3 linked regions of the Arabidopsis thaliana genome follow. The protein of the gene in region 2 interacts with the protein of the main gene of each other region in a pairwise test. Each region holds a gene or a part of one and is shown on either strand. Other genes may lie near its edges.

Region 1 (9,310 bases), 680 kb from region 2:
TAGGAAGTCAAAAGATGGTTAGGGCAGATTTTAAAATCCGTGGTACCAAACACTAAATAATTTGATACAAATAAAGAGAAATAGTGGAACTAATCCTTCCATTTCGGCCTTCACAACTTTATAAGAAGTCAACTAGGATTGAGACAGACATAGCGAGTGGCCTGCAAAATGTATCAGAGAAGTGCATCTTTTTAAGTGACCCATTATTATAGTGAGAGACCACTATCCCCCAAAATCTTATTTTACAATTAATAAACATCGTTCCTCATAACATTATGTGTTTTGACCTAAAATCCATAATTCTACTAAATCCCAAAAACTAAAGAACTTTTACCCCCAAAAAGTCACCATATGAATGGTTATACTTATATATATGTGTGTGTGTATTGCACCATAACCCATATATTTTAGATTAGAAGACTTTATAAATCCCCTCTATAGATCCTTTCATATAAAAAAATGGTTTCGCACTTCAACTTTCTTAACTGGTTAATTATTTCCATCTTAAAATGTTTTCTCACAACCTCCAAGTAAATATCTGCAGTTTTCTATAAAAAATAAAATGAAACAGATTCTTTTTCAGCATCTGAATATGATAAAAACTAATATAGACTACACGTACATTAAACCAGCTAAACTGCTTAAGTAGAATCGTTGTACTATCTAAAACATTATTCACTTAACAGTTAACACATGTACGTGCAGCTCTTCTGTCCGAAGACTATGCATGACTTCACAAAAAAAAAAAAAAAAAAGGGAAAGTTCGTGAGTAGGGAAATAATCAATGTGTCGGCAATTATATGTTGCGTTTAAAAGGAGTGATGAATAAGAAACCAATGAGCCACTAAATTAGCAATGTTTTATTGGGCAACAACGTACGTGTCTTAAGTCTTAACTTCTGTTGTCCAATGTCAACTACACAGAAAGACGACGAAACGTACATCTATTAGTCTTTGACAAAAAAAAAACGTACGTCTATTAGTTAAAAAAAAAAGAGAACAAAAACACAATTTCAATACTAACATAGTTTACAACGCGAATAATAAATCACGAGACACCCACAACTAATAATTTCACTACTTTTCTTAAATATTTCCTTCGTTTTAAATTTTTAATATACAATTCATCTCATAAGTGTAGTTTTTTTTTCTGTAGAAGACGGGAGACTAAAAATTATAAGAAAAATTACAAACTTACTTGCCTTAGGCGCACATACCCAATAACATCATCGCTTAAGAGCGTATCAACATTAGAAGGAACAACATCAAAAAATGAAAGCCATCAGGCAATGAGAACGCATAGTTAGATCTATAAATGTAGTTTGAACCAAAGTTCTAGTTTTTATCCATTAAATTAGCTTATATATTAGGTTTTCGTTGTCCTACTAAACGAATTAATTTTCTTAAAAAACATCCGTTTTTTTTTTTTTTTCAGAGTTTTCTTTAATGGCGTTCATCTTCTAAGAAAGTATTTACTAATCATTATTATTTTTAAAAATGTATTGATCCGTAACCTTAAGGTAAAATGTGTTAGATAATAGCTATTGAAAGAAAAATTGGAGTTATTTTTTGTCGCAAGAAGTTCATGCTTTAATCAATAATTATGTTTCTTTTGACTAATAACTTGGATCGTAAGATTTTCTCCTTTTTTTGGCAGTTTCAGCTGACGACGCTCATATATCTTTCGGTGCTATTTCAGTATTGCATTTAAAGACTAAAGGTAAAGTTTAAAGTCGCAAAATAAAGTATTAACGCCGTAATGAAATTATTTGAATATGAAAAAAATCGTCGCGGACGACAAAAATGTTTTTTTTTTTTGTGTGTGTATCAGTGTATGTGATATATGTGGGTGTGCTTGGACAAGTCCTTTGACAATAAAAAAGGCCCACTTCGTATTACCACCATTCTTTTTCAACTCCCAATTTCAATTCAGAGTGGCGTGTCCTATTTCTCTTGGATGTTTAGCCATCATCTATCTTTTATGTGTTTTATTGTCCATTTGAGTGAGATTTAAATGGGTATGTCATCACAATGAAAAAAAAAAAAATACCAACAGAACCAACGTTTCTCTCGCCTAAATCATCAATTCGAAAAAGATATGTCGAATGAATTATGACATTATATATTTAGTTCAAGAGAAAAATTCTCGAGACGTCAGAAACATGGTTTGGGACTAATACATAGAACCGAGAGAAACTAATTTAAACCATAACTTGAATGGTCTAGAATGTTTCAAATACACATGAAAACATTTTTCAAAATATAGGTTCGGTATCAGTTGCATTTGGCGTTTGGAAAACCAAAAAAAAGCAACACATACAATCAAAATTGAGGTTTCCATAAACAGCGTGAATGTGAAATGTTCTTCGATCTCTTAACTTGACTCTTTGGAAGCAGAGTAAGGCAGGACGTTTTCTCCTATTAACATGTGCCCTTTCCCATATAGTTCGAGCCAAATCAAATAATGGATTCTAAACGATTGTAAACAGTTCCATAGTAAAATGAATAGATGTGGACCTCTTTAAGACCCTAAGACATGACACCATATAATAAAAATGTTCCTGTATGTGACATTTGAAACTTGATTGCAAACAAAACACAAGTATATATGCAAAACCCCCTAAACTGCATCATAGCAAAGAGAAGATAGACAGACATGTGAAACTTCTTTATATAAAAATAAAAATGTGAATAATGCTTTTAATCAAACATACAAACCCCCCCAAAAGACAAAATGATGATGCAAAGACTGCAACTAACCAAATAATAAAAGAAAACAAAAGAAAAAATCAAGGGATTGTCCTCTAATAATGCCCCCACTTGATAAAAACCTGAGACCTCTCCCTCCTCAAGGGGTTGAAGAACATATGAGAGAAAAGAAAAAACAAGAATGTATTATGAGATGTTCCATGAAACCTTTTTTTTTTTGGTATAACTTTGTCCCAAAACCCACCAGAAAACGACCATGACTCACTTCCTCCTCTTTCTACTCCCGGGGATTTAACCTTACCCGGGAAACTTTCACCCGTGACTCTTCCAGTTTCATTATTTACCCCAAAACTCATCATTCCCCACATCCACGACTCAACGATTCCCTGACTGACCCCAGTTATGCTGATGATGCAAATGAAACTGATGCTGATGATGCTGATGTGACTCGGATGTTGCAGCTCTACCCCTCCCCCCGACCGACTCAACCCACCCAGAGATGCATGCAGACTTTACTAAAAAGCAAAAGGAATTTTCTTTCTTATAGGCAAAAGAAGAGCCTTCAAACAGATATGGCACGGGTTATGGCATGCTTCGCCCATTCGGCTGCTTCTTTAATTGTGTGGTCTTCAGAAGACAAACATTCGTTTAAGAACTCTTTACTTGACACTGACTGTTGTATCAAACCACCCACATGACTCCCTAGTGTATCTGCTAAATCTCCTAAGACCCCAATCGCTGTCTTCATCACCACCTCGTCCCTGTCCCAAGGCAATTTTACCACAAAATTAAACAACTGCTATGACATAATAGAAATTCAGTTGGGTCGTAACCAAACTTACATGTCTTTCTCCATGTATATACTGTCCAAAAACTGGAGGATATGGGGTGCGAAAGGAATCAGGAGCTGGGTTTTGGCGGAGTTCTTGAAACCTTGAAATATGCCTGAATAAGCCTCAAGGATTCCGTTTCTCAATGAGTTTGTGTACTCCGTCATTTCATCATCAGCTCCAGCCGAGTGAGCAGATAACTCTGCGGCACTCTGAAGCATCGGCATTGAATACCTCCAGTACTTATCAAAATCCTCACCGATAGCAAGTGCTATGTCACCAAAACAGGAGAATATCGGTGGCTTCACTGATCGGTGCAATTGGTTGCTCGACAAATCTTTCAGAAGCTGTGTCATAATCCCATCGCAATAAGGTAAAATCTTGTCCTCCAATGCTCTGCAGACATCCCCAACAACACCAACAGTAACAGCACACACTTGGTATTCTTCAAAGTTTTGAAGACCCATCTCCAAGTACTTATAAAACTCAGGCATGTATTTGGCAAAATTGGGACCTGCTGCATAAGCAAGAGCACCAATGGCAAGCATGGCTTCCTCATGTGCAGTTGCACTTCTACAACCAAACACCCTCAGGAAAAGTCCCATCATTTGGTCTGCATACTCCATGAACTTAGACTTGGTTGGTTCAGATCCTAATTTCTGTATGATGACCTGCAAGCATCCACATAGAAGTCCCTGCAACTCGTTTTGTTTCTCCCTCTCATCCAATGAAAGCTTTTCCCCTTCCAAAGTATTGTGAAGCTCCATCATTATCACTGGTACTAATTGCAGAACCATGGTAGACGTTTCATCAGTTGAACACCTGACAACTTCATTCAATGCCTCATATGCTGCAGTCCGCAAGCGTGATTCAGTTGCATCCTCTCTGTGTGCAACAGCTAAAAGTGACTTAATAATTTCCTGGAAGAAGGGTGTTAACGGAGAACTGGGACCGATATCCTCATAGCCTTGAGCAAGGAAGTACAGAGCCCCACAAGCCTTCTCGGCAACATTAGGCGCATCATTCATGCTCTGGATGAGTACTGTGATTATCTGCTGGCAGTTTGCCTGATTAATAATAGGTGTCTCGATTGTTGAACCATGAAGGAACTCAAATATCCGACCAAGGGTCCATGCGGTTGTGTCTTTCACATGGTTGCTTGGGTCATTTGTTAGAGCATTGAGCATAAATGTTAACGCTGCGTTAACAATTGCCATCAACTTATCGGCAGAAGGGCCTTCCAAAATGGAACCAAAAGCATAAGTTGCAGCTTCTCGCTCTCTCCAATCAGGCTTTGATATTTTCTCTTCAATAAACGGCATGACATGTGGAACAATGTCATCTCCAACTGCCCTAGCAACCAAACCGAGGCATGTCCCACCTGCCATTGCAATATTCCAAGCCCCTTCATCCAAATCTTGATCTTCTTCTTGCTTCAGAAGAGTCTCCAGCAGTAGAGGCACAAGACCAGGGAGAGCCTGCTTAGTAAAATAAAAGCATGGAACATCAGAATCCCCAGCGAACTCACCACCATATTCTTCTAAGATGTCAATCTCTTCGTCACAAATAGAACTCCAGAACTCAATTGCCTGTAGAGCAACAGACTCGTCATCTTCTCTTACAGCCTTAGCTGTGATGTTGAATATATCTTGCATGTAATGCGCCAACTTCTCATAGTATGTGGAAGCGATAGATACCAAACACTCAAAAGCTGCCTGCCTAATTTTCACCTCAGGGGACAGGGTTGCTTCACACACAACTCTCATGATATAATCACGCTCCATGTCGTTGTTGAAATTTGCTTGGGCGAATCCGAGAGCCATGTATAAAGCACGGGTTGCAGCAAGTCTAACATCAGTATTACCTTCAGCAGCATTCATACCCTGAACAACAGCTGTGAGTATCTTATTTACATGCTCCTGTTCAACAACATCAGGTGACACTTCTTCACATAGGTATCCAAGAGTCTCCAAAGTGGCTTGCTTGACATGAGCAGGTAACTGGTGAATATTTGAGAGAAGAGACACTATGAGCTCAGGCCACTGCTTCTGTGGTAACTCAATACCTGCAACCTTAGCAATGACCTGAGATGCAGTCGAACGAACATCAGGCACAGGTGCCGACAGTGTCTTCAACAAGAAAGCTCTGATCTGCGACTTTGTTGACATGTCTAGAGCCAACCATCTCTGAACAAGCTCATACTTCCTGTGTTGTTCCTTAGCATCAAGAGCATTTTTAAGGACTAAACCAGCTAATTTCCTGCTATCTACTGGCTTCTCATCATTCGCAAGCTCTCCAGCAAGCGACAACAAGAAACCCGCAAGGTTTTGCTCCTGAAACTGCTTAAGACTTTCTTCCGCGTGCTTACGTACAGTTCCATCAATCGACTGAGCATTAATGAGCAACTGCGTAACCTCCATTGCCATAGGTTTATCTGCAACAGAAACAAACAGATTCAGCAAAACTGAAAATAAAGAAGAAGTAAGACAGAATCAGTAAATTAAGCCAACAACATGAAGAAACTCGTCAACGATCCAAAAAGCCATAAAGGTGAAAGACTACTAAATCACTATGAATCGAAAAAACCATGTAATAGCAATAAGAGATCAAAGCACGAGCCATTGACGCTTAAAAACACTGTCAGATTCAACTATAACAGCCAGAACAACAGATCCGAGCACGAAATCGAATATAAAACACGAAATCAAACTAGTTACTAAGATGACCAAATCAACAAGTTAATAGAACAAATGAATCTAACTAAAAAATCGAAAAGCAAATCTCAGATTACGAACGAGTTCAAATCATAAAACAGTGAACAAATCGAAACTAAAGTTGGAAATGGATGATTGAACGAATCGAGATCGAATCAGGAAAAAAAAAAAGCGAATTGGGAAGTGATGAATCTGAAGATGGATCTTAGGGAGAAAGTTGAATAGATGAAGTGAAGAAGGGTAACCTAGAATCTCGGCGGCGGCCGATCGGATAAAGCGGAAATCGGGGACTGGAGAGGACAAACCCTAGAAGCCCAGAAGGAAGAGAGAGAGAGAGAGAGAAGAAAAAAATCAGTTCCAGCGAAAAAGGGAAGAGAGAGAGAGAAGAGAAGAGAAGAATCGGATGTGAAGATGGACTTTAAATTTTATTATTAAACTTTTAACCAAATATTTATATAAACAAATAAAAAAACTGTTTTGAACACAAATTATGTAAATCTATTAATTTTGAAATTGTTTTCCAAACTTATATATATTTGTACTCAATTGTATATTTAGGTTTTGTTCAGTGTATCCTAATATTTTTATAAAAACTATATATAGGAAAATATCTTTTAAAATTACCCAATTAAAAAAAAGTTGTATAAATCTTCTAAATATGAAAATTTGTTTCCAATCATAATTGTTTGTTCAGTGTATCTTATTTTTTTCAAATAAAAACATAAATAGAAAAAAATCTGAATTACCCAATATATATATAAAAAGGGAAAATATTTTTCTTTATGATTTTTGCACACTAAAAATATATTTCTGATTAAAGAATTGATATAATCTGGAGTGATTATGTCGTACATCGCGTGTTGGGTGGTCCTTATCTGAACCCCACCTTATATATTCTCATCGTTAATTAATCAACGGTCCGGATTGTTTTACAGCGAGATGCGAAGAAGAAGATTTTTTTTCTTTTCTTATTCCGAAGGTACAATTTGTATCATATTTAAAATACTTATAAATTTTACAAGTAATCAACAAAATTGTTTTACAGGTATGATAATAATGATTCAGATGGCTGAAAAAACATGAAAGGGTCACGAACGAAAGAGAGAAACATTATACTAACAAAAAAAAAACTATTATTGAGTTATGATGATTGATGATGATGATCTCTCTGGGTTCAATATAGTAACCAATAAAAACTAGAGCTACTATATCATATGTAACTTGTGTTGTTGTATGTTAAAACATAAGCTTAAGAGGAAGCAAAGAGGCTCAGAGGAAATGTAAGAAAAACACAAGCATCTAGCTTTGACACACAATTTTAAAGACTTAAAAAACACTAATTGGAATCCTTCTTCTCTCGCATCCAAGACCATTCTGATTCACAGAGATCAAGAGGCGAGTTTCCGTCTTCGTCTTTAATGGTTGTATCAGCTTTCTGCTTCACCAGAAACTCGGCGAGTGCTTCTCTTTCGCACACAACAGCATAGTGTAGAGAGGTTTGGCCTTCATTGTCCTGCACAAAGTTTGTCAGCGACAAAAACATAAAAGTCTGTAATTGAGAGAAAGAATTAGTTTAGGGGGTTTTGGTTATTTATTTACTTTAGCATTCACATCTGCGTTCTTATCAACCAGAGCTTCAGCAACGTTAAGATGGCCACGGTCTATAGCCCAATGCAGTGGTGTTCGACCTTCACTATCTGACATTTCCAAGATGGAGAAACTGTTAAGTTTCCAAACCAGATCCGAACATTCTGTGAAAATGATACAAGACTACTAACCTCTTGCATTTACGGGTATGCCATTTTCTATGCATTTCAATAGATTCTCGACTTCTCCTTCTCTAGCAAAGGCGTGTATGGCGTCAATCTTCCTGGAACATGGAGTAAGAACGCAAGAATGAACAGAGCTTCTACTATGATTTAAACTAACACATGATTCTTTGATCTACCTAAGGTGAGTATTATGATATATACATTCCTTCTCTGATCTAGTCAGCTAGTCATATAGAGAAACTGAGAAAAGAAAACCAAAAGTTCATAGATGAATCTGTAACTAATTGCTTAGGAACCTTACAACTCATTGTCAGATTCCTCTTCGTACACCAATGAGCTAAAAACCGGTCCCATGGGGCCTGCAGCCTCACCACTCCGATTTCTTCGTTTCTAATAGTCCGCAACGAAGCAAACAAGCCAAGAAATAAAGACAGATTTAAGAACGAAAACAGACCATCCATAAACAGTCCAAAGAAATGGGAATAACAGAAGCAGGTAAGAAGACAACTAACCGAGCCACCTTCAACCCAAGCTGGGTAAAGCTGAGTAACAAGGTCGATATACTTCTCCATCGCTTCCTCAGGAGGCATAGCACCCAATTTCTGCCATGCTTGCCTAGAACAAAAAAGATCATAACAAATCTCAGTCGATCAAAATGCATCCCTAAGTTACCAATCAACAAAACAACAAAAGCAAATCCTTTCGGTACTCACACAAAGCAAGATACATCCAGGATGAAGAATAATCAGTACATCACAAGTAAACATGATTAAGTAACAATCTTCACAGTCATAAGATTTGAATCAGATCACTAATCAATACACCAACAAAAGCAATCCTTTCCATACATTAGCAATGAAAGATACGAACTTGGTGAAATCAAAATAATATACATCCATGATCAAGAAACATCAGTACATCACAAGTAAACATGATCAAGCAATCATCTTTCACAGTCCCAAACATTTGAATCAGAGAATCAATAAGAGTGTTAGACAAACCACTTGGCACGAGCAGTCATTTTAAGAGCTGATGGTTGAGGAGCAGTACAAGGTCCTTCAGTAGCAATTTTATACAATCCATAAAGCTGAAGTTGCAACTCATTAGAAACTTTCTGCGAAAGCCTATCCGATGCAGCAGCAGCAACAAAAGCCGTAGCAGCACTAAATGCCTCATCAAGTTCTGTACTTTCGACACCTTCCCAATCATCATCATCTGATTCATCTTCATCACCTCTCAAGCTACCTTGCTCAGCTATAAGAGAATCAGTCTCGCCGCTAATCCCA
Region 2 (6,884 bases):
GCGCGTTGGCGAGTTCGTATCCACCGTCGGCTGGTTCGTTTAAACCGGAGTTAATCGAACCGGTTATTAAACCGATGCTTGATCTCCTCCGCAAAACGTCGTCGCATCTTATGGTGAATGCTTATCCTTTCTTTGCTTACGCAGCTAACGCCGATAAGATCTCGTTGGATTACGCGTTGTTTAAGGAGAACGCCGGGAATGTTGATTCCGGTAACGGTTTGAAGTATAACAGTCTCTTAGACGCTCAGATCGACGCCGTTTTCGCCGCAATGTCCGCCGTTGGATTTAACGACGTTAAGCTTGTGGTGACAGAGACAGGCTGGCCTTCTGCCGGAGACGAGAACGAGATTGGTGCTGGTTCGGCTAACGCGGCGGCGTATAACGGCGGGTTAGTTAAAAGAGTGTTGACGGGAAACGGAACGCCGTTAAAACCGAAGGAGCCACTAAACGTTTATCTGTTCGCTCTGTTTAACGAGAATCAGAAAACGGGTCCGACTTCTGAGAGAAACTACGGGTTGTTTTACCCAAACGAGAACAAAGTGTATGACGTTTCGCTCAACGGTAAGTCAACGCCGGTCAACGATAACAAAGAGAAGGTTGTTCCGGTGAAACCGTCGCTCGTGGGACAGACGTGGTGTGTGGCGAATGGTAAAACGACGAAGGAGAAGCTTCAGGAAGGTCTCGACTACGCTTGTGGCGAAGGAGGTGCTGATTGCCGTCCGATTCAACCGGGTGCCACGTGTTATAATCCTGAATCGTTAGAAGCTCACGCTTCCTACGCGTTCAACAGTTACTATCAGAAGAACGCACGTGGAGTTGGCACGTGTAATTTTGGTGGTGCAGCGTACGTGGTCTCGCAACCTCCTAGTAAGTACCCTATCTTTCCTCTCCAAAATTTTATTTTGATTAGTAAGTATTTTGCATATACAGTATAGTTATTTTCACGTTCTTAATAGTTGGAAGATGGTTAGATAATAATTATGGGAGTTGGGATGGTTTAACAACAAATGTTATTTTTTTGGGCTTCACTTACGTATACAGATTTATAATTAAATTGTGACGTATAGACGGAAACGTAAACTAAATTAATTATTTTTTGTTGGTTATGTGTTTGTAGAGTATGGGAAATGCGAGTTTCCAACAGGGCATTGAAATGGATATAGAGAAGAAGAGGATCGTGCGGATTTATTTACGTTATTTATTTTGATACATTGTTCTTTTGTCATTCGAGTATATGATTTGCGTATATTTATTTTTATTATTGTATATTTGGTTGGTTTCATCGGATAAATAGTCAGATTTTCTTTCCCCCTTAAGCCTTAACTTCTTTGCTCGTGAGTTTATAAAACTGACAAAACTTTGTTGATATAAACCATTATATCCTGCAACTGATCCAATAAACAACATTGCAATATTATTTTCAAAATCTCAAATTGATTCGTTTTGCTGGTGATCAACTGATCATGATCCAAGCAAAACTCAACAGTATATATTGTCCATATTGTTTCATTCCAATACTCCAGAGTCAAAACCTTGAGCTGCCTACTTCATCAAACTTGATTAGCGCCTACCATCAATTGAGCTACGACTACACTACCAACTCCCATATAGAAGCCTGTAACTCGAAAAATGGGTTTTGAGTTATAGTTTGTCACAAAGCTCTGTGAATACATTATACTACATGAAAACTCATCAAGTCTTTTGATATGGAATCTTCAGAACCAAGAATAGCTTTAATGCTTTTATAGTTGTGAAGTCTGTTATTATTCTATTACTGAATGTGTATTCTCCTCCAGAAATATCTAAGATCTTAGATGAGTCAGTTTAGACGTTTTAAATAGCAAGAATGTTCTGCTTTTTTATGTCATTTTAAAAAGCTTAAGGTTTTGGATTGTAAGCATCGTGTGGTTGCTAATCGAACTTCCTTCCCTTTGCATTATTGAGATAGTGTACTCGCAAAACACGGTGGCAATTTAACCAAAACATAGTACAAACACGGTTTCAAAATTTTAAAAACAAAACCATATACAGTACTTGATTACCATCCCAAGACTTACATATTCTTAGATGGACTATGAGTCTATGGCTTTTTCTTCAACTACTACCAACTTGAACTTCTCCTCCAAACCAATTAAGTGGGCTTTCAATTGGTCATGCCTTCTTTCCATATCACGAGTTTCTTCTAGCCAGCGGGAGTGATTTGATGGAAAGGTGGTCGCATTCGTGGAGTATGCTTTTGTAAGTCTTGATTGGAAAAGCTGTAAACAATGCTCTTTCTGAAATATTGAGGGCTAGCTTTGGATCGCGCCATCGCGGCTAACTCTTGGCAACACCAATGGCTTCCTTGTGTCTTCTTCCATCAAAGCGTGTTCCTTTCATTAATTACATTCTCTTTTGTGGCCTTCTATTATATTGTTGCGTAGTTTTCAGTCTTTTATTTCTCTTCGTTGTATCTCCGTGTTATGTAAAAAATCTAAAATTTCGTATAAAACTTTAAATTTTACCAAAAAAATAATTAAAAACAGACAAATTCTTTAGAAATAAAATCTAACACCTTTTATATTTTCTTCATAAACAATTGAACCAAAAAAAAAAACTCAAATCCAACTCCTCTCCCCTATAAAACTCTATCTTATTGATGATTTTGCTCAAAATGTAGTAGTAATAACAATGACGAGGCCTATGATGGATCAGGATTCAGGAGAGCATTTTGGGCCGGATCCGGATCCGGATCCGGATCTGAGCCTGGATCCAATTCTAGATTACCGGGTTTGAGTATCTGCGTCATTCCTAAGCTCACTATACTCTCTGTTTAAAAAAACCTATCTCTCTCTCTCTCTCTCGCCGCCTTCCTCTCACCCTCTTCGCATAGCTTCACTTTCGCCGATGGTAAAATTATCTCTCCTTCTTTGCGTTGATCTACTTATCTCTCGATCCTACTTTGAAATTCTTAGGGTTTAACATTATATTCGATCTCGCGTGATCTGTTGATTTTGTCTCATCGTTATTTTGACATAATTGTCAGGCTCTACCTAACCAGCAAACCGTGGATTACCCTAGCTTCAAGCTCGTTATCGTTGGCGATGGAGGCACAGGTACCCAATCCCTAGCTTCATCTTTCTTTTGTTTTAGAAATATATACAGAGAATTGATTTAGTTCTATTTCAGAAACTCGATTTTGGATCAAATTGCTTTGATATAGTTCAGTTTTGATTAGTATGCTGCTTTGACTTAGTTTGTCTGTCTAGAGCTTAGTATCTGTATGTATAAGTGATCTTGATCCGTCGTAGTTCAATTCTGAGATTGTTCCAAATTGTTTCAGTAGTTGGATGCATTTGGCTATGTTATCAAGTAACCTCTGATTAAATGTTGGTTTGGTTCACAGGGAAGACCACATTTGTAAAGAGACATCTTACTGGAGAGTTTGAGAAGAAGTATGAACGTAAGTACTCTCGCAAGCAAGCCCCATCCTGAAATATATCACTTGTCATTAACCTTTTTTATTCTCACAAAAGATTCTCATGTGTTCTTGTGTTTTTGCAGCCACTATTGGTGTTGAGGTTCATCCTCTTGATTTCTTCACTAACTGTGGCAAGATCCGTTTCTACTGTTGGGATACTGCTGGCCAAGAGAAATTTGGTGGTCTTAGGGATGGTTACTAGTAAGTACTTTCTTCTCATACAAATCACTTAAAACCGACCTTGTTAATAATCTAGAATCATCTACTGTCATGCTATAATCTAGAATCTTCTAGTGTTGGAAGCTTGGTTATGGTTTGAAGCTCAATAAGATGATTGTAGCTAGCAACATGAAAAACTATTGATAACTGTTGCAAATAGTTTGTGTTTGATACAATAATGTGTTCTGTTTTGTTGCAGCATCCATGGACAATGTGCTATCATCATGTTTGATGTCACAGCACGACTGACATACAAGAATGTTCCAACATGGCACCGTGATCTTTGCAGGTATGATGAACTCACTCACAGAAACTAGCATTTGTTGTATGTGGCAAATTGCTAAACAGAAAATGTCATCAAATTTCATGGTGCAGGGTTTGTGAAAACATCCCAATTGTTCTTTGTGGGAATAAAGTTGATGTGAAGAACAGGCAAGTCAAGGCCAAGCAGGTAACATTCCACAGGAAGAAGAACCTCCAGTATTACGAGATATCTGCCAAGAGCAACTACAACTTCGAGAAGCCATTCTTGTACCTTGCTAGAAAGCTCGCCGGGTAAGAAACAATTCATCAATTCAACCCTCATTGTAGTTATTGTGAAACAACGGAAAAATGAAAATTGAGATGTTGCTTGTTTGTCTCAGGGACGCTAATCTTCACTTTGTGGAATCACCTGCCCTTGCTCCCCCGGAAGTTCAAATCGACTTGGCTGCTCAGCAGCAGTAAGTTCTCTAAAACTAATTTTGTTTTAATTTGTTGCTAAGGTTTGAGTTCGAGGCTTTTCTTCAATTAACGATTATATATTTGTAGGCATGAGGCGGAGCTTGCAGCAGCAGCAAGTCAGCCACTTCCTGATGACGATGATGACACCTTCGAGTAGAGAAAGAGAGATGTGATCTGTCACTGATTACCCGTTAGGGCTTGTCTGAACTTTTTTTTGTTCATGGTGCTATTTTTATGTGTCCGTACTTTGAAATGAATCGATGACATTAGTAATTTTCATTTTTAAGTTTTTAACTGTCGCTATGAAAGTGAAAACCTTTTGATTACAAACCTTACATGCTTCACAATTTCAATTGTATCTCTATTAATCCTAGCCGCGCAATCTCATCAATTCTCCACACCCAACACACTTAATAGTTTTTTTTTACATCAATCATTTCGAAACCACAAGTTCTTAGATACTCAACAACATTTTTTTTTTTTTTTCTGTAGCCAATCGATGTTCTAAAGATCAAGAATGTTGTATTATTTCTACCACTTATGGAGTCACCAAGGATATGTGAAGGGTTTTCTTTGTTTATATATTTTTTTAATTGCGTTTTAGGACATCTCCAATAGAAGTATCTAAATGTAGATACTGATCTCTATCAAAACAGATTATGGATATCATACTAGAGTACATTAAAAATTTGCTTCTAAGATTTTGAGTTCTTGGAGTCATTAACGCATCGCTAAGGGTATTTTCGTAACTTTAAATAACCCCAAATAATATTTTGCTTCCTCCCCAAGAACCTTTTTGCCTCTTTCTACTTCCGTCGGCCGGATTCAGAGTCATAAATAAATATATAAAAAAAAGTTTCGATTTTTGCTTTTCTTCTTCGATTCATTGCGCGAATCATCCGTGATGTTGGTGTCTAGGGTTTTATCAAGAGTTTCTCGCAGCGCAGGCTTACGCTCGTCTTTCTCCTCCGTCGTTACTCCGAAGAGGAATCAGATTCCGATTGTTGCAAGCCGATTTCACTCCCTCGTTCACGGAACCCCCAACAAGGTTAGGCTTTTAAGCTGATTTTACTTGTAATTCGTTCTGGATTTTATCGTCGGGTTTATGCTAGGGTTTAAGGGGTTTGTCTAAACAAAAGATTGTTATGTTCTGATTCTATTGCTCTGGTCTTCTTTATTACAGTGTCACGAATTTAATTGTGTATGTCTGAATGTTAATGTTTTGATTGCTCTTTCATATGTCTTAATTTGGATGTGAAATTCTGGCAATCCTTGTGAATTTGAAAGCTGAGATAAAGCTCATTCTAGGATTTGTGTACAGTGAATTTACTTAATTTGGATCATTTTTTTTAATGGCAGCTTGTTGCAGTTCCAGTGTCGCTCCGAAACCATGGAACTCTAGATTTGAATGTTCTTCAAAGGTTCGGCTTTTTTTCCTCTTCCTCAGCTGAACCGAAGGGAAATGAGAGTAACACCGAAGTACCAAAGACCGGCGAAACTTCTGAGAATGTGGAGGTGGGGAAAGCTACAGGTGAGGCAAAAGATTCATGTATTTTGACTTAGAATAAAGAGAGATTACTGTGTCTAATACTGAACGAGTTTCTTTTTCTGAGTTCCAGATGCAGAGATTGACTTCGACGATTTGTCAAGAGACGATTTAGTGAAGCTTGTGAGTGAGAAGGAAGATCTTTTGAAGGTTCAGCAGAAAGACATAATGGAAATGAAAGATAAATTTCTTCGCACTTATGCTGAGCAGCAGAATCTTATGGACAGGACTAACCGTAATGCTGAAAGCGCCAAAAAGTTCGCTGTACAGGTTTACTTCTCTACTCCGCGAATCCTTTTTCTTCTTTCTTGTATTAACTCGTTTTGCTTTGTGTATAATCCAGTGCTGAATATGTTTTGTTGTGCTGCAGAACTTTGCAACGAGCCTTTTGGATGTGGCGGATAATCTTGAAAGAGCTTCTTCTGTTGTCAAAGAGAGTTTTTCGAAGATCGACACTTCAAAAGATTTGGCTGGTGCTACTCCACTGTTAAAAAACCTATTAGAAGGAGTGGAGATGACTGAGAAACAATTAGCTGAGGTAAAAACGTCCATTATATATATCTTTTGAGGTAAACAATGATAATAAGACTGGTGCTGAGAATGCAATTTTGTATGTAAAACTGCAGGTGTTTAGAAAAGCTGGTTTGGTGAAAGAAGATCCTTTAAATGAACCGTTTAATCCAAACAGACATAACGCAGTGTTCCAAGTCCCAGATGCTTCCAAGCCAAAAGGCACAATTGCTCATGTCCTAAAGGTACTAAACTATTCAAAGGATTGCTCTCTTTCTTGCTTTAACTCTTAAGCCTATGTTAACTTTTAGAAATCCACACAATATCATGGATTCTCTGCCATCATTTTATAACTGTTTTTTTTTCTTCCATATTTGCAGTCTGGATACTCATTGTACGATCGAGTTATAAGGCCAGCTGAGGTTG
Region 3 (6,923 bases), on a different chromosome or scaffold from region 2:
AACAACGTCTGGCTTTGAAACACTAAAAGGGAGAGTCTCGTGGTTTGTATCGACTGAGGAAGGTCGTGAGCTCACGGAAGGAAGATTGTGCTGAAGATGAAAGATGAAGAGAATGTACAAAACCAACCATGTTCTTCTCAAACCCATTTTCTTTATCTTTTCTCTTGTTTTGTCTGTATTATATCTCACTTTCCCCTTTGATCTATTTATATAAGCCTCAGAAAGAAATTAAACGCGGCAAAAGTGGTTGCCAGCAGTTTCGACGTAGTCTCTCATTATGATGCTGCCACGAAAATATCCAAAAAAGATTTATTTCTTTTTTAAAAAAAGAAATATCCAATAAAGATTTATTATACTTATCCATATTTATATTTATTGACCTTTGTTTTAAACAATATAGATTTTATGAAGGAGCACACAAACTAAAAAAAAAGTAAGGTTAATTAGGAGATAAGTGTTTCCAGATGTCGTGGATGGAAAAGAATTAATCCATCTAAATTCATTTCTGGTATCATGTTAATGAAAAATCAGTTAGATAGCAAATAGAATAAAAATGAAGGAAATAAATAGCATGATTATAAAAAGGTTTGGCCGCGTGTACAAGTTGACTGTCAGGGTCAATTTTGGGTTATAGAGCAAAGAAAAGTGGACCATATTGATGACAACTTTCACATGTCTACCATTCTTGATTTTCAGAATTTGAATCTTTTGATATGTTATATTCCCTAAATATTTATCAGGAAATATCTTATTACAAAACCTGATATTTTCTGTCAATTTGTTTTTTTTTTTGTAAATTATTTTTTAAATAGCACACAAATATTAATGTGTTTAAAGTTAGAACTCAAACCAATTTATTGCGATTTTCTTAAAGAAGTTTAGATAATAAGACCTAAAGTGAAAACAGAAACTATTTTCTTCTTTTTAGGGTTTACATATATTAAATTATAAGTAACCTGTCATCTTTTTAGTGAATAATCAATTTTTTTTTCCATAAAAAAATCTTACAAAAAAAAAAAGTTGACATATTTGAATTTATCCAATTAAGGGGGTATAATTCAATCAAATTAAAATTTAAAATCCAAATTTAATAAAGTTTGAAATCCAAGCAATTCATTGTTATGTTTAAATATGGTGTTATAGGAATGGTTTATATGTTTGTATTATTCCAAATTTATTTTAAAAGTGTTATAAATTTAATAAAATCTTAACCTAAGCATAATCCATTGTTATTCATTCACATATGGTCTTACTGGATATGATTTATATAAATCATGCTTTGGTAATTTTAGCACAGTATAGTACAATGTCATTTTTTTTCCGTGAACAGTTCGTTATAACTGAAGAATTTTATGAATACTGTTAATATACATTTTGGATCTTTATCAGGGTCAAGACTAGCATCGACTAACACAAGAGAGCAAAGTAGATTGGCAATTACCTTTTTTTTGTCAAACAATTGGCAATTACCTTAAGATTAAAAAATCACATGCATTAAATTTTGAAAAAAAAAAAATGGAGACTTCTGATTCTTGTCCATGGACAAACACATTTGTATCCTCAAAATAAGACCATCCAAAAAGGATCCATGAGAAAACTTAAAACAATGAAACCAATGTACTCTTTCAGATAACCAACATGAAAAAATATTTCACCCAAATCTCTCATATCACCCGACACTTTAGACTCAAAAACTATTAGACCCATAACGACTCAGCATTCAGTAAAACCCGACCCCAAGCGATCCCCCAACCACTTGATATGACTCGACAAAACATGTATAGATAGATAGTGCCAAGACAATGGTAGACTCATGATGCATCAAAACATTTCGAGGCTTAATTACCTCGCCAGGATTTGGCAACTTAAATGATGACGCTTCTTATGTTGAGGGACCACTTTCTTCTGTTTTCTTTGCTTCACCAGATTTCTCTGCCTCGCTCTCTTTCTTTTCTTCTGCTTTCACTTCAGTCTTTGCCGTCTCCACAGCTTTCGCTTCGGTTTTCTCCTCCGTTTTTGTCTCTTCCACAGTCAATTTCTCAAGAAGGCCAGCAGTGTCAGCGGCATCTTTGCTCTCTTCTTTCTCTTCTTCAGACTCAGCAACTTCCTTGAACTTTTGCATAAATGTTTTGCAATCTGACAAGGAAAATAAGATTTGATTACCCACAAGCATCTCTACTTTTCCCGGTTAATATGATCAACAGCTCAGAAACTACTGATAATATTTACCCAAAATAAAAAAAGAAACAGTCGACCATGTTGGCATATCAAATTAGTTGCAGCCTAAATACATACTTGACCACCTCAAGAACAATATTATCTCTTTACAATGCAATACCACAACCTAACCGCCACAGTACTTATTTTGATATTTCCTGAACCCAATAACGCATGCCTATGATGGAAGCTTTGAGAACCTCCAATTAACAAAGTAGCCATATAGCAATGCTAAGGTCAAGATCCATCAGTAATCTAATCCGTGAATCTATCAAACCAACTGAGACTAAATAAGGCAAAACACAAGCCATTACAAAATTCGGTTTCATACTCACTCTCAATAGAAGCAAATCGGATACAGAAAAGCTCATCCTTGAGTTCACCATCAGCAAAGTCACGAGCGTGCCACACACATGACTTTTCATTCCCAACGTGTTCCTGAACACTCATGCCCGATTTAACTGCAGAAATATCAGAAGCATAAGACTAGATAAGGAAACAGTAACCTAAATACAGATCCAGATGCAACTCAAAAACAACACAAAGTAGTCCAAATAGAAATTATACCGAAGTGATTAGCACAGATCTTCAAAGTTTTAGATTGCCTCATAACGAGACGAATCTTCCCAGTGTTCTTATGCTTTAAGAACTTCACAGTACCAGCTCCTCTCTCCTTCCACTGATTCGCATCCTTATCGAATCGATAAAGCTTCGATTTCCTTTAGATTCACAAACAAAAATTCAGTCAAACACACCAAAAGCTAAACCTTATAAATTCGATCAGATCCAGTTGACCTAGATCAGAAAAACTATAAACACCAATTAAGAAAAACACTTACAGATCAAGGACGGCATCTTCGTCTTCCTCGCCGGTAGTGACGGCAACCTCCTCAAGCCTAACGATCGGAGCGACCTGAGCTCCGGTGTCCTCATCCTCGTTAGCTCCGGCCTCTTCCTCGTCTCTGTGCTCGTGCTCGGGTTCGTTGGTCGCCATAGTATTTACTGAGATTTCCTCGTGGATTCAATTGGTCGCTACGGTGCGGCGTACGCGAGAGAGATAGAGAGAAGAGAATTTGGGGGTTTCGCAACACAGGAAATCGGAACGACTCATAGTTATACGGCGTTGAATTGAAGCTAACTATGGGCCGATTTCTTATGACAAAAAATATATATGGCCCATATAAACCCATTGTATCTGGGTTATTTTTAAAGCTATTTATCTCAAGGGAAATTAATCCTTTTTTAGAGAAATCTTAATGATTTATAGCATAGAGATTAGAGAAAAATCTTAAAGATCGAAAAAAGAATATGATGATATGCTTGAGCTAAACTCTATGTAACGACTTCGTTCAGTTTGATACATAATCGTACATGCATAACCTTGGTCCTTCAGGCCTAGTCGAAACAAACAACCATCTTCAACCGGTCCGGTTCCCTCTATGATTCATTTAAATGCTCCAAAATCCGAATACTTATTAGGATGAATCAAAAGTCTTCTAAAGCATAAAACCAAAGTCTCTTTTGGCCTCTTGAGTCTTCCACCAGCTTACGAACCAAAACCATTTGTCGCAATATTTTTTCACATTAAAATACAACTATTTGGCTGTAAACGAGAGTTATCAATATAAGGCAATGGCTCGTAATTAAGACACTCGATCTCATCTCACCGCGTAAAAGATAGTTTTGTCCGATCCGAATCACATGTGCAAACAAACAAAACTTGAGGCTGTGATTAAAAGACAACGTTTCGAGTTTATTGCTTTGATTATACTGATACAACAAATACATAGTGAGAACAATTTCCCTAAAGATACATGTAGTATAAACCATAATTTCCATTAATAAATGTAAAACCACCACAAATTCATATGGCAGCGCCGCCGCCGATCCCCCGTTTCCAGGCGGTAAATTCTGAGACATAGAAACGTCAATTATCGCCGAGTCACCAGCCACGTCATCGTTTGGATCCGATGATGTGTTATATTCCGATTCTACCCTTGTGGATCCCGAATATTCCATTGTTGTCCCTTCCTCTTCCGAAGCGTGGCATCTAACTTCCACCCAACCATCTGACTCCCAAATTACTCCTCCGGTCGTCGCCAAATTACAAATTATTGCCTTCGCCGCGTCTTCGAATTCTGATCTCCCTACTTCCTCTTCTTCTTCTTCTAAGTCAAACCCCGAGTTGACCCAGTCAAGTACGCAACGCGGAGATGACTCAGTCGGAGATGAGTTGTGACACTGAGAGAGAAATGGATGCTGCAAAAGCTGATCGCAACTCCACCTCTGATTCGGGTCTCGCTTCAGACACTTTTCTAGGAAATCACGGCCGATTTCCGACAACTTCGAGGGGAAAACCGGTAACTCGTCAGAGAAACTGATTCGACTCAGCGAGTCAATTCCGTGGTCTTCCCAAGCGGGTTTCCCAGTGAACATCTCGATGATCGTGCAGCCGAGAGACCAGACGTCACTCTCCGGACCTTGGTACTCTCGTCTGATCACCTCCGGAGCCATCCAAAGCGGACTTCCACGTGGCGTGATCAGAGCCCTCGGTGTGTGGATTCTGAACGCCGACCCAAAATCGGCTAACTTGACCATGGAGCTTTGGCTGACGAGGATGTTCCTCGCCTTGACGTCGCAGTGAACGAATCCTTGAGAGTGTACGTGGCGGAGAGCAGAGACAAGACACGCCGTGTAACGCTGGAGCAGAGTCTCGTCTTCGATTTTTCCTCCGGCTCTGTGACTAGCCACGTCACCGTTTGGGAGATACTCTAAGTAGAGATTCCTAAACGTCGTCGTTCCTTCTTTCGAGACTCCGTCGCCGAGAAACTTCACGATGTAAGGGTGAGGCTTTAGCGAGCGGAAGACAGATATTTCGTTCTCGAGAGACTCTGATTGAGTGGGGAGACTCGTGGCGAGATCCACGGATTTCACGGCGAAAACTTCACCGTTGGTTTTGCTGATCGCCGTACTAACTGCACCGAAACAACCTCTGCCGATACACGCACCACGAACCCAAAAAGAAGATGGTGAGGATAACATTAAAGAAGAAGAACAAGTGTTTCTGATGCTCTGTTTCTCCATGTGTGCCAACTTTCATATGTCGTACTTGTGCAACACGAAGCTATTTATATGCGTGTTTTGGAACTGCAAAACAGAAAATGTGAACGTGAAATAAAGTTGCAATTTTTTTTGTTTCTGACATGGACTATTCTTGTACACTTGTCTTTTCGATTTGTAAAGTCTCATCTTTGTAAAATTTCCCACGTGGATATGTCATGTACAACACAAACTTTCGAGTCTATCATTAGATTTTTGAACAAATTATACCATGTTCGATGGTCGGTTTGGATTTTAACAATTTTAATTATATATACATCTATTGAAATCTAGACTTAATCCTTACAAATTTTTTACTTTTATGGAATGATTAGTCGTTTTGAAAAGAGAACAAATAAATCAGAAAAAGGATCATTTTAGAAATTAGAAGAAAATGTTTTATGTCACTCCTAATGACACTTGGAGAAGTTCTTGGGATGTTTTTAAGAAACAATGCACTTGCCCTGTCTCCTTAATCCTTATCCACCAAGACTCAAGTTGCGGTTTGATCTTGTCCGCTAATATTTTACTCAGCAAAGATAAAATCACACACACCCTCTAGCTTCACGCAATCGTTTTCGTTTTTATAACCTCAACATTTAAAAAATCGTCTCTTTACTTAAGTGATCGGATCACCGATCGTGGAGAAGACAAATGAACAAAAACGTGCCTATAGATTTGGAACGCTTGATTTATTGACTTATTTCTGGTATGTTTCTATTTGGTTGACCTGAAGACATGATCAGACATGGAATATACGGTAGTCGACGTACGTACAAATCATTATCAAGGATTCATGAATCCAAACCATGTCTTAGCCAATCATAAGCAATGGACATAAATTAATTTATATTCGTCAAACAATTAACATAAAGAAGGTGAGGGTGTACAGTAACAGAATATATACGCGAAGTAGATGATATCCGAATAAATTATCGGAGTTGTCAAAGGGGTTGGAGATGAAGGAAGAGGTTGCCGAAAGGGGTTGGGTTTTAAAAATGGGGGTCCATTTGGAAACTTACGTGGCATGAAGCGGTTGGCTCACGTTCTTTGACATATTAACGAGTTGTCTGAACACACATATTGGGAATTGACGTGCTTGATCAACCTCCACGCATAGTGAAAATATTATATTAGTTTTTATTCTTTGTTTGGTTGGGATCATGAAGGAAGCACAAGAATTTACTCAAAAACGTTATCCAAAGATATCACGGAGATCGAGTTGAAGATGGAAGGTAGAAAATAAAAGATAGGGTTTTAACTTTTAATTGAGGAGATCGTTGGTTGGGAATTAATCTTGGGATGGTTAATAGCCAGATCACTACAATAGTATCTTTCTTGGGATTTATAGTGGGTTGGTAGTGGTAGAAAGATCAAAGTTTTGATAACATATCAATTTAGTGTTTTGAAACTACGATTGAAGTTTGGTCAAAGCTTGCTAATGATTTAGCTAACCATTAGAATTCGAACTTTTATGCATGCACTATAATCTTTCTTTGATCTTTGAATTATTTCAAAATACAGAAACCTTTCTTCCATTAATTCCAAAAGAAAAAAAATGCCGCCGCAACTAAATTATATATGTACTTTGTTTGTTGTTTCTCTGG

The links.
Region 1: the proteins of RAN3 (region 2) and AT5G53480 interact in a two-hybrid assay, tested with the Arabidopsis thaliana proteins (one study listed by BioGRID).
Region 3: the proteins of RAN3 (region 2) and SIRANBP interact in a two-hybrid assay, tested with the Arabidopsis thaliana proteins (2 studies listed by BioGRID).

What each region holds. Positions count from the first base shown.
Region 1 is NC_003076.8:21,710,670-21,719,979, reverse strand, and holds AT5G53480 (ARM repeat superfamily protein), read right to left. Parts: upstream 6,736-9,310; 5' UTR 6,498-6,735; intron 5,973-6,497; 5' UTR 5,965-5,972; coding exon 3,551-5,964; intron 3,470-3,550; coding exon 3,271-3,469; 3' UTR 2,102-3,270; downstream 1-2,101. Other genes in the region: ACBP1 (acyl-CoA binding protein 1), read right to left, coding at 7,589-7,765, 7,852-7,949, 8,031-8,122, 8,326-8,414, 8,537-8,639, 9,026-9,310. UniProt on the Arabidopsis thaliana protein: Acts as a negative effector of drought tolerance. Involved in the regulation of stomatal closure and in the abscisic acid (ABA)-mediated pathway that lead to drought tolerance.
Region 2 is NC_003076.8:22,389,399-22,396,282, forward strand, and holds RAN3 (RAN GTPase 3), read left to right. Parts: upstream 1-2,664; 5' UTR 2,665-2,886; coding exon 2,887-2,889; intron 2,890-3,025; coding exon 3,026-3,095; intron 3,096-3,385; coding exon 3,386-3,442; intron 3,443-3,543; coding exon 3,544-3,661; intron 3,662-3,878; coding exon 3,879-3,968; intron 3,969-4,054; coding exon 4,055-4,234; intron 4,235-4,323; coding exon 4,324-4,401; intron 4,402-4,489; coding exon 4,490-4,559; 3' UTR 4,560-4,787; downstream 4,788-6,884. Other genes in the region: AT5G55180 (O-Glycosyl hydrolases family 17 protein), read left to right, coding at 1-871, 1,118-1,163; MGE1 (Co-chaperone GrpE family protein), read left to right, coding at 5,307-5,450, 5,762-5,933, 6,022-6,218, 6,319-6,486, 6,575-6,703, 6,839-6,884. UniProt on the Arabidopsis thaliana protein: GTP-binding protein involved in nucleocytoplasmic transport. Required for the import of protein into the nucleus and also for RNA export. Involved in chromatin condensation and control of cell cycle.
Region 3 is NC_003070.9:2,190,478-2,197,400, forward strand, and holds SIRANBP (Pleckstrin homology (PH) domain superfamily protein), read right to left. Parts: upstream 3,360-6,923; 5' UTR 3,212-3,359; coding exon 3,057-3,211; intron 2,937-3,056; coding exon 2,785-2,936; intron 2,679-2,784; coding exon 2,553-2,678; intron 2,137-2,552; coding exon 1,883-2,136; 3' UTR 1,202-1,882; downstream 1-1,201. Other genes in the region: AT1G07135 (glycine-rich protein), read right to left, coding at 1-147; MAPKKK13 (mitogen-activated protein kinase kinase kinase 13), read right to left, coding at 3,802-5,301.